3 linked regions of the Rattus norvegicus genome follow. Each later gene encodes a partner of the first gene's protein in a complex. Links are inferred from orthologs where the notes say so. Each region holds a gene or a part of one and is shown in the gene's direction. Other genes may lie near its edges. The genes, in order: Cc2d2a, Tmem67 and Tctn1.

What was found.
Region 2: Cc2d2a (region 1) and Tmem67 share a complex: the UniProt entries of both Homo sapiens proteins name them as parts of the tectonic-like complex. The link is inferred for Rattus norvegicus from reciprocal best matches to the Homo sapiens genes CC2D2A and TMEM67.
Region 3: Cc2d2a (region 1) and Tctn1 share a complex: the UniProt entries of both Homo sapiens proteins name them as parts of the tectonic-like complex. The link is inferred for Rattus norvegicus from reciprocal best matches to the Homo sapiens genes CC2D2A and TCTN1.

What each region holds. Positions count from the first base shown.
Region 1 is NC_086032.1:71,645,490-71,649,685, reverse strand, and holds the start of Cc2d2a (coiled-coil and C2 domain containing 2A), read left to right. Parts: upstream 1-1,354; 5' UTR 1,355-1,518; intron 1,519-2,582; exon of another isoform or gene 2,583-2,601; intron 2,602-4,196. UniProt on the Homo sapiens protein: Component of the tectonic-like complex, a complex localized at the transition zone of primary cilia and acting as a barrier that prevents diffusion of transmembrane proteins between the cilia and plasma membranes.
Region 2 is NC_086023.1:30,362,520-30,366,167, reverse strand, and holds part of Tmem67 (meckelin precursor), read left to right. Parts: intron 1-1,111; coding exon 1,112-1,268; intron 1,269-1,957; coding exon 1,958-2,081; intron 2,082-3,308; coding exon 3,309-3,414; intron 3,415-3,648. UniProt on the Homo sapiens protein: Required for ciliary structure and function. Part of the tectonic-like complex which is required for tissue-specific ciliogenesis and may regulate ciliary membrane composition.
Region 3 is NC_086030.1:39,994,575-39,998,222, forward strand, and holds part of Tctn1 (tectonic-1 precursor), read left to right. Parts: coding exon 1-55; intron 56-900; coding exon 901-1,026; intron 1,027-1,305; coding exon 1,306-1,391; intron 1,392-2,166; coding exon 2,167-2,307; intron 2,308-2,902; coding exon 2,903-3,065; intron 3,066-3,648. UniProt on the Homo sapiens protein: Component of the tectonic-like complex, a complex localized at the transition zone of primary cilia and acting as a barrier that prevents diffusion of transmembrane proteins between the cilia and plasma membranes.

The sequences.
Region 1 (4,196 bases):
ATATAATTTGTTTCTTAAGCTGGGGAAATGGCTCAATCAATAAAATGCTTGCCCAGAACAAATACGGAGTTCAGGTCCCCAGCACCCACATAAAAGCCAAGTGTCTACAGATATCTATAATCCTAGCACTGGGGAGGCCAAGACAGGCCTGTCAATGAAACTCATTGGCCAACAGTCTCCGAAAACAGCATTCCCCAAACATCAGGCTCCAAAAGAGACCCTTTACTGGGATTTTTTTCCCCTGTAAGGAAGGCTGTGACAGTGAGTATGCTGATGGGTTTAGAATTAAATAATTTGAATTATTTCAGAATATTCTGGATTATAGAGTTGCCCCCTAACCACCCGACTCCAGAGTGACGTAGAGCAGGGGGACATTACATGGTAATAAAGCAGTAGTTGGAAATGCTAGCTTGGGGTCAGTTAGTATGTATCAAAGAGAATTTACACATTTCTGAGGAGCCATTAGCTAGGAATTAGCTAGCTTCAGAGATGCATATAATGAATGTCAGTGCTTTATGACACAGAAAATAGAGGCTAGGAGGTAGTTCCATTGGTAAAGGGCTTATCACGCAATCGTGAGGACCTGGTTTTGAAGGTGGCTGAAGCTCAGCATGGTGGTCCATGTTTGTTCTGTCAGCACCAGGGAGGCTAAGACAAGCAGGAATCTGGAGCTAGGCAGGCAGCCTAGCCTAATCACCAAATGCCAGCTTCCAGTGAGAGACCTTATCTAAGAAACAAAATGGCAGGCTTCTGAGGAACAGCACGTGAGGTTAGGAGGCCATGGTCAGTGGAGTTCCTTGATCTGTGGCTGTCCTTGGTCCGCAGAGGCTCTCGGTCTGCTCGTTACTTTTCTCTCTCCTCGGCCTTTTCTCCTATTTTCTTGCCTTTTTTGAGCCATCATGTTTGTATCCCTGCTGAGTCATGTGTAGTAAAGAATTGGAGAATAAACAGAGCATAGGTTTGTGCGGTCCAGCTTCTGTGCACAGCCAGCAAACATGGAGCTCTGATGCCCGGCCACAGAGTCTTTGCTGGTGATGATTAAACATCTCTTCCACATAACATGGCCCCTCCTGATTCTAAATCACTACTCATGAACACCTTCTGTCCTTTGCCCAACATGCCGTGCAACCCAGAGACACGAGGCAGGGTACTATGCTTCCGAGCCTGAGTCCTCTCTGCTCAACTGCCCAGTTGCTTTCCCTTTGTCTCTTCTCAGCACGTTATTTTTCTCTGCTTGCCAAGCAAGCTCATATTTCAAGACTGAAAAGTAAACTGTCACTTTAAAAGGAAAAAAAAGCAGCCGCCTAGTGACCTTCCCTGGGAACTGGTTGCTAAGCTGGTGTTTTTTTTTTTCCCTGAGACATGGCTGCAGCTTCTCAGGGAACAACCTCCCTTACCCCAGCCCACCCCTTCGCTCATTTCTAAAAGATTCTCTAGCTTGACACAACTGGTCTCTCATCTCGTCCCTCCATCCCAGAGAGTGGAATCTGCAAACTTCGTTTTGTAGAGTGGATTAAGGTAAATCGGTTTTTTAAAAGAAACAGGGCTGCAGAGTGTACTGCTTTCACCTCCTTTCCTTCCGGCTTGGAAAGCAGCCCCTCCCTGTGCCATGAGAGTAGACCGAACGCTTTAACATTAGGGACTCTCAGCTCAGCTCGCTTGCAGTTTTACTCTCTGAATGCAAAGTGGGGGGTGGGGCACTGCAGAGACAGCTTTGGTTTCAGCTGCGGTTTGGTCTCTGGCTTGCAGAAGTGCAAACCGATTGGTTCACAGAGAACCTCGCTGGCCAGTGTGCTGCCAACCGCTAGCTCCATGTTGCTTTTTGGCCCTTCAGTTTAAAATGCTCCAAGGAAGAGGAGGGCGGGCTGGAGGGAGTGCTTGGTGCTGCAAACTTCACTTTTCTTGGTATTGGACAAAGAGCTAGGAACCACAGGCCACCAAGCTCCCAGAAAAGTCTACTAGCCATCAGCTGAACTGATTGTTTTCTTTTTTGCAAATGGGTGCTAAGAAAAGCTAATAAAGTCTAATGAGAAATACATGTCTGCTATTGCAAACGTTTCTACAAATAAATGTAACGACAGTATGTTATATGTAGAGGGGGGACTGTATATGGATAGAGGGAAAATGTGTATATATATATAAATAGTTGACCTAGAGTTCACTTACAGAGTTTTTTATTGAGCATCAATAATACGGCAGACAATGAACTCAGGTTTACAGTGTACAAAAACGATGCAGACCAGGTCCAATGCTGAGAAGCATTGGGGAAGCAGATGTATAAACAGATAAGGAGTGCACATGAGATTAGCACCAAGAGGGATTTGTAAAAAGGTCTAAAGAGCTCTACGCACAGCAGGACTCCTGCCACAGCCCCCCTGAGCAACTGAGCAATCCCACTGAGCAGAGCCTGCCCTCAACAAGTGAAAGGTGTCCCCTCCATCTGATTAAATGACCACACACAGCTGTGTCACTCACCTTGAACTCTAGAAGCCGGGGCTAAAATAACTTGCCGTTACATAATTAATCACAGCTCCTGAGAGTTCCCAGCTTTGAGTGGGCCCTCCCACTGGAAAGGAAAAGCCTCCTCTCTGAAGAGAAAAAGTGAGTATGGTAGAGGGGAGGAGGTTCCAGCAACACTTTAAACAGACAAGGAAAGGCCTTGTCCTGGGCATGGCTGGAGGAAGGGGAGAAGAGACTTGCTTAGGGCTGTGAGGGGTGGGAATAAAAACTAAAGAGAGTAAGGGTGCACAACCCCCTAAGGTGTTTTTTATGATTCTCTTCCTCTCTGAACCGATGTTTCCCCTCTTGATCCCTTCCCCCCAACTGTGACCTCTTATGACCGTTCTTGTTGGAAAAAAGATACTCCAAAGAAACATTTGTGCCTCTCCTTCTGCTATCAGACTATTAAGACAATTAACTCTAAAAATTGTATTTTCTCAGTACCAAGTGCTGGGAGAAGGAAAAGATTGGCTCCAAGTACCAACGTGGAGAATGACTACTCTCCAAAAAAGAGTTCTGACAGCTTGTCAGTGACCTTGCATAAGATACTGGGACAGAGACAATGATGTGTCAGTGATGGAAGGACCACACCTTGACCAAAACTGCTTAGTTATATATCCCTCCTGGTACCTTTTATTCAGACCTAAATTTCACATCAGGACCCAGGAAGACAGACTTTGACATCACTGGACACCTATGTTCCACTTCCCAAAGTCACCATATTATCTCTGACTTGTCCATTATTTTTCTCTTTTGTTGCCCTACTGTGGCCGAGCCTATCTTGTTAGAGTTGCCAACGGTTCTGACCCTAACCCTGGCAACATCTATAATAATAAACCCTACCAGTACAGTGAGCCTGGTCTGTGACAGTCACTTTATTGCAATATTTTCAGTACAGAGCCCATAAGAAACCATCGTCACCTGAGGTAGGAAGTATGATTATGAGTTTACAGAATCGGCTGTGTTATTTCAAGATCACACAGCTGGCAAGATGGGAATTTGAACCCAGGACCATGTTTTTTTTTTTTTCAAACGCCTCACTCTTTAAAGCCATAATTTCTTTGATAATTAATACACCATCCTTAGGAGCAGCATCAATTAAGTGCTTTATATACTACAGCCTTTTTCTCTCAGTTCTTCTCTGTATCTGCTGGGTCATCCCTGGGTTCTTGGATGTGACTATGACAGCTGACTTTAGAGATAGGTCCGTGTGGTCAGATAGCAGTGTCGGTACTTTCCGTTAAAAATGTGTTGTTTTTCTGTCCAATGTAAAACAGATTATTGGCCTTGTGTCGCCTGTGTAATGAGGACACTGCTATAGTGTTTGTGGCTTTCCATTGTAAGTATTTCCACACTAAGGATAGTTTAGAAGAGTGATGGTAAACGTGCTTTAGCAAGACTAAAGTGGGACCAGGGGGAACTTTGGGGCCCCGAAGCTCAGAGGGCAGACTGAGCTTGAGATTTAAAGACTGTGACCTCACATAACTTTGGAAATCTTGGTTTGCTTGGGTCGAAGTTGGCATGCGTCCTACTGAGACCTGCTATGCGTGGGTGAGGAGAACTCATGTGTGGAGGGAACGCAAAGCTCCAGTTCTACACGCCCAGGGCTCCTATTCTGACACTGTCACAGAGTGTATTAACAAGTGAGCATGGCAAATGCGACGACAGGGGCTCATTAAAGCTGAGGGGTGTTTATT
Region 2 (3,648 bases), on another chromosome or scaffold:
GCACACACACAGAACAAAACCCCAGTGAACAGTGCCTTCCTGAAAAAGTCATTGGAGGAAAATAAACATTTTTATTGATTAATATTGGACAGTTGTGCCAGAGATGATTTTTGTTTTATATCTTATATTTTCCTAATTTTCTACCGTGAACGTGAATTTTATGGTCAGAAGTGGCCTACAAGGTGTTTTGACATCTTTTTATAACAGTGTGGACTACAGGAAGGGAGGCTTTGCAGGTGTGAACTACAGGGTGATGTACCCAGCATTTTCTCAATGAAGTCCCACTCAATTCATAAAACAACTGAGTGAGGAACTTGGTGTCTGTGCTTCAGTGGGACACAGTAATGTTAGGCGATTATAAAATGGTCACCTCAGGTCCATGTTCTGATAGATGTAAAACCATGATTACCGCAGTGTAACTGTTACTCACAGAAGTAGTTCACAGCTCAGTAAGGACCCTAACTATGTAGGCAGAGAATGGCAGCAACTATTCAAGTGTTACACTGTAGACAGGCATACGACATCAGTTCTCGGGGTGTACAGAAGGACTGCAGAGTCAGTGCTACTCAAGGTATACAATGAGCAGAAGTTGGATGGACCATAGCAAGGAAGGAGTCTGTGCAGAACCCACACTTGTGATGTTGGGAGGCTAGGAGGGCCTGGCACGTACATACGTGGAAAGGAACTGGACTGGACTGGACTGGTAAGAGCAGGTGAGTATAGACCGGTAGGGGACAGTCAGAGATGGGCTTAACCCTCCTGAAGGGAGCCAGTCCTGTGCATCAGGAAAAACAAAACAAAACAAAAAAACCTTTTTATTCATCCCGTAGGACAGCACTTTAAGCCTCTTCTTTGATATATATTTAGTATTGGAACTAAAAGCCAATCTCTTCATGTTATAGATTAAAAATAGAAAAGTTCTTCACTGGTTGACATTTTCGTTTTCTTTGTTTTTTTCTTTTTTCGAGTGGTACTTTTAGAAATTTATATTTGGAAGTCTCTTGGAAGTCATGCAAATAATATAAAGATACTTTATAAAGTTAAAAAGAGAAAGTTTGATATGCTTTCTAATTTTGAGTTGTGGTGTGTTTATTTTTATTTTACGTCCTAGTGTGAAATCTCTCTCTCTAAACTCCTGGCTGACTTTCCCAGTCCTGTGTTTTATGATATTTACCTGGAATATACTGATGAAGTGCAACATCATTACCTTTGGGCTATCCCAGTGTTAAACCTCAATCTTCAACATAATAAACTGTTTGTGAACCAAGGTAAGCATTCTCCCCTGCTCTCTCATAGCTGAGATCAATAGATGTAAACCAAATATGATCATTTCAGGAACCAGGGATGATGATGCTGATTGTGGATCCTCTTTTTTAAAAATATTTATATATAAGTACACTGTAGCTCTCTTCAGACACACCAGAAGAGAGCATCAGATCCCATTACAGATGGTTGTGAGCCACCATGTGGTTGCTGGGATTTGAACTCAGGACCTCTGGAAGAGCAGCCAGTGCTCTTAACCACTGAGCCATCTCTCCAGCTCCACCTCCCTTTTTATGGATCCTTTTAGTGTACAATTTTATACAGTATGAGCCAAGGTACAATCAACTAGTAAAACTGCTGCAGCTTTAGGCCATTTATTAATTTGATTTTCAAGATATCATTCCCTTGCTGAGAGTATATCCCTAGAATAACAAATAGAATTGTGAACTGAGACGTTTTCTTCTCTGTTTCCGACCCTATTTTGAGACAAACTAATTTCTTTTGTTGCTACCCATGCTATAAAATGTGACCTAGGCAAGGAGCAGAGACGCCTGACAGTTTCTTATTATGTGGCCATCATACACAAAAGACAAGGTTTTAATGTTGATTTCTTCAGTGAGTGCCGTGAGTGCCGACAGAAGCAGTTTGATCACAGCTTTCCTAATGCTGCCTTTTCCTCTTTTTATAATAACAGACAGTAGCTCCAGCAAGTGGCTTCTGACTCGGCGCATTTTCTTAGTGGATGCAGTAAGTGGACGAGAAAATGACCTAGGAAATCAGCCAAGAGTAATTCGAGTTGCTACCCAGATATCACTGAGGTAAAAGCTGCCTGATGACTATGTAGATGTGTGAAGGTATACACTGAGGAAGGTATACACCAGTCATCACCAGACTGAAACAATAGGGAGAACTGAGCCAAAACAGCACCTAAGCTCTCCCTAGATATGAGTAGATTGGCAGAGTCCAGCAAAGGTTAAAGGATAAAGCTGGAAACTGATACCAGCCGCCCTCAGGAGCTTGTGCGAATTCATGTGTTCTTGACCTCTCGGTACCTGGGGAAGACAGAGGGCTGAGAGAGGAAGGAAGGTAATATCAGTGGCTGCAGTGGTACTTTAGTAAGAGCTTAGGAATAGTGTCTTCAGCCTCTCCAACCTGACTTCTTTTCCTGGCTCTCTGTCTAGAATCTAGAGTCTAGATTGACCCAGATTAGCCAGCATCCCTCTCGTTCTAAAACCCCCCACTTGTAGCGTGGCACCGTGCAGCCTGTGTTCTCTCTTCCATGTAATAGTGGTTCTTGACTGAACCGCCCACTGCAGCGTGTCCTAATGTGCCCTAGCGTGTCCTAACATGTGTTGTGACTGCACTGGTTTTACTCTCAGAGCACTTCATACTCATCGTTTCTCGCTGTTCGTTTGCTCTCATAGTAAGCTTATGGGTGGGGCACCGTGGGAGCCTCCTCGTACTCCATGCTGACACCCATTTGCACTGCTTTAACGTGCTCACCAGCCACTGCAGAATTCCTAACACCAATGAAATCAGACCTAACCACGGTGGGCTTGGCCTCGGTGAGGCCGTGCTGGCACTCTTCTTCTTGGGCTCACTAACTATATGTTACTAATGCATCGTAGCTGCCAAGTTATTCCCGAAACAAAACTAAATGTGTCGTGTGTTTTGGTAAAGATTCATCTTTATCTGAAGCGCCACATTTTATCTGCTTTTGTTTAGGTGCCATGTAGTGTAGCTCTTTCTGCTGTTCCTATGTGTGTCTCACAGCACTTCAGTGGTTATATATATATATATATATATATATATATATATATATATAACACATCTATCAGAGCCTAGTGCTTGTCTCCTGGAGTGTACTTTTGTGTTAAAGTTTTTAACCAATGAGAATGAGCTGTGGTTTAACTCTTAGTTTATACTGAGCCTCCCCTAGTCCTTACTAAAATATCAAGACAGCCTATACCAAATTAAGAGAATGATAAATATATGCCTAAGGGGTTAAATATATTTAGCAGTCTGAGTTTATTTTCTTTTAACAGCATACGCCTTGTACCCAACACAAAGAATGGAAACATCTACACTCCCTTACTCACCATTGCCTACAGTGACATTGACATCAAAAATGCTTATAGCCAGTCTGTGAAGGTGAGTTCTTCGTCAGTCAGTGACCTTGTGTTTGCAAATGTCACTGTAATGCTGTTGTAGCTTATCATGGTTAAGGTGATATATTTTAAAGTTTTAAACAAATCCCTTTGTTTATATACTCAATCTTAATTATCAGTGTCTAATGAAAGAGAAGCTAAGCTCTTATTTTAATATTAGAATATTAAAAGGCAATAGTGAATGAAATTTTTGTTTTTTATTATGTGTATGTGTGTA
Region 3 (3,648 bases), on another chromosome or scaffold:
GCCATCTCTGGTCAGCACTGGGCAAGACAGACTCTGCAGCAACGTTGTTCTCCAGGTAGGCATCCAGTGTGTCTGCAGTCTTGCTCCAACTGCCTGACTCCAGCCTGCTGGCTGCAGGGGAACTTCACACCTTCCCCTGCTGGACTGCTGGTCGCTACCGTGCTGGTTCTCTTCTTGGTTGACCTCCAGCTGCTCCTGCTGCTCTGCTCTCCCGCCAGAGAGCAGGCCTTCACCTGTCTACATGATCCAATACCTTGCAGGAATACATCACATTTTTCTTGTCAGTGGTTAGGACGATGGCTCAGTGGAGTAAGAGTGTTTGTTCCACAAGGATGCAGACCTGAGGTCAAATCCCTAGCACCTATGTAAAAAGCCAAGCATGGCTACCACCATAACCCCAGCACTGGGGGACAGCAGATCCCCAAGAGTCAGCCAGCCTCACTGAAATAGAGCTTGTGGTTCAATGAAGGACTGTGTCTCCAGGCAGTAAGTCTGAGAGTTACAGAGGAAGACACCCAGTGTCACTCTCTGGCCTCTGGCCTCTGGCCTCTGCATGTGCAGGCATGGGTACACACTCTCTCACACTCGCTCACACTCTGCATGTGCAGGCATGGGTACACACTCTCTCACACTCAGTCACAGGCACCATACATACAATTTATCGCTACCACCATTTGATGGGACTCATTTCTTCTGCAGAAATAGGCTGTTCACATTGTGCTTGAGTCAGCTGATCTGAAATGTCAAAACCCTGGGTACAGAGAGGCTGAGGTGACTGTCCACTAGGATGCTAAGGGGATACGAGTGACATGATTGGACAGCAGACTTGGGGGCTGTGGTCTTTCTGTGGCTGCTTTGTTGGAGTTGGTAACATGGCTGCTGAGCCCCATTCTTCCCCAGGTAAAGTACAGTCTGCTATACACAGCCAGCGGCCAGATCCAGGAAGCCGGCCTCTCCCTCGTGCTGGGGACGCTCATCAGCACCGTGAGTCTCCTGCAGCAGAAGTTTGAGATTCACTTTATTCAGGTGAGTCTGAGAGGAAGCCTGGCTTCTGGGGGCAGCACTGACAGTGGAGAAGCATGACCCAGCTCCCAGCCTGAGCTGCAGTAATGTGTGGGGTTTGCCTGGAAGCCGGGTGCTGTCCCATGCCTTGCAGGCTCACAGAGCGCTGTCCTCCCACTCTCTGGGATCTATTTATACTTCAGAACAGAGGGAGCTGCTCTTCCAGATGTTACAGTGAGAAGCACTGTGTTGCCCCCGCTCTTACCTAAATAATGTTGCCCAGGTCATCACCTTGTCTTTCAGCATGGCACCAAGCCTGTTCCTCTCAGTGGCAACCCTGGTTACAGAGTGGGACTCCCGCTGGCCGCTGGCTTTCAGCCTCAGAAGGGGTATCCTTTTTTTCCGGGTCTGTGGAGAAGGTCACCTTCCCTGTCTGCATGGTGGGCCGTGCTTCCATTTGTTGCCAGAGACGCTGTGGGCGGCCTATGGGAAGGAGGTACCTGATTGGCCAGAGCTTCCACTGAAAGCGCGTTCCACTGAAATGTGGCACGGCTGGTTTAAATGGAGTCTGGTGCTTTGGGGAAGATGGCAGTGCATTTAAAAGGACAGCTGGAGGCAGAGGGTTCTTCTAATCTTTGATTCATTTATTCAGTTGTTTTTAAGAAAGTCTCTCACTGCGTACTGGAGCTCACTATGTAGGCCAGGGTGGCCTCAAACTCAGGAGGATGCCTTGCCTCCTGAGTGCTGAGGTCAAAGGTCACTCTTTGGCATCGCTTCCAATCTCAGGCTGGCTGTGGCGGTGACTTGAGGAGTCTCCTGTCTCAGCCCCCTCACCTTACACTTCATTTCGAAACAAGGTTCCAGCAAGTCGGTCACCCTGACTGGTCTCACGCTCACTTGTAGCTCAGGTGGTCCTCAAATGTGCCCCCCTCAGCCTTTTGAGGGGCTTGATTGTGGGCCTGGCCACCGCAGCTGGCTGGAACTAGTTTGGAAGATGAGCCAATCAAGAAAGAGATTTGCTGCCGTGTTACCCTTCCTGGTAATAGGCCAGGGCCTGGAGGAGCCTGCGTCTCACTCAGGTCTCACAGCATGCGTGAAGCCATTTTCTTCCTAGACAGTCTGACTGCTCTGGAAGTGTTGACTGTCCCTTAACAGTCTGTGAATGTCTGGGATTATTCAGACAACGAACAGACAAGGCCAGCTTACTATTCTTCGTAGCACAGGCAAGCAGGACTGCCTGGCCAGCCACGGGCAGCGGGCTCCTGTGCTGTTTGGCTACAATGTGCAGTCTGGCTGTCAGCTCAGGTGAGTGGCTGTGGCAGAGATCACACATCCTTCAGCTTTAGCCACATCGATAGCACAGGCGTCACAGTGGAGGCTGACCCTAACCCTGTGTAGCTCAGGGCAGACTCGAACTCCTGGCCCTCCTGCCTGAGCCTTCTGAGATCTGCAATGGCATTTATGGATCTCTGGGTCTGTGTATTTGTTGATGAATTCCTACTCTGTACAAACCCTTCTCTTTGCTCCTCTCATCTCCCTTCCCCTGTACCCTTCCCACATCTTTGCAGTGACTCTGTTGTTAGTTTGACTGCTAGATGTCAGATCAGTGTTTCTTCCTAAGAGTTCCACCGAACACTTTGCCACAGGATGCCAGGAGACATGAGAAAGCCACTGTGTTTCCTGGCTTCTGCCCATGGCACAATGTTCAGAGGGGGCAGGGGAGTGGGAGACAAGTTGGGAAGCTGCTTTGGGCTATCTCCATGACCAGGATGTGCAAAGGCAGGGCCATGTCAGCAATTGGAGGATCACATTTTTGGAGAGGGAGGAAGAAGTGTAGAGGCTGACATGTCTTGGAGGTTGTCAGCTCCTCCCTCTGTTGGCCTCTCTTTCCTTCTCAAAGGTTGACAGGCACCATCCCATGCGGGCTTCTGGCACAGAAGATGCAGGATCTGCTGAGAGGCCAGGCCTTCCCTGACTACGTGGCTGCGTTTGGGAACTCACGAGCCCAGGATGTGCAGGACTGGGTGCCTGTGCACTTTGTCACCCACTCCTCCAACACGAAGGTAAAGACTGAGAGGCTGCTGGCCCCCCTCGAGTGTGCCTTCCTCTGCCTGGTGGGCCACAGGAGGCTAGGGAGGCACCAGGGCGGGAGGGAGGCAGGCAGGCAGGTTTCAGGGAGGGGGAGGGAGGAAGAAGGCTACAACCAAGCTGGGTGGGTTTCCAGCTCGCTCCTCTTCACGTGCCTTGATGAGTAGTTTTCAAGCGTCTGTTTGCTTCCCTGTGATGTGGAAACTGAATGGACCAGGACAGCACAGGACCCCAAGACCAAGTTCTCAGCACAGAGGAGATGTATTTGCCCCAGAGGGACAGAGGGCAAGGAATAAGAGACAAAAACAGGAGATAGAGGATGAGGGGGAAGGAGAAAGTAAGAAGGGATGGGGGTTAGGGGTGTGATAATGCCCTGCAGGGACAAAGAACTGCCTCTGGATAGAAAGGAGACAGACAAGGCCCGTAGGCAAATAGAAATTTATAAGGGATGAAATGTTTTATTTTAACTGGGTGTGTTAATCAGGGCAGCCAAAGGGGGCTTTACTTTGATAGCTGGACCTTGGTAGTCAGCCTCAGGAGGAGGAGGAAGTGGCCAAA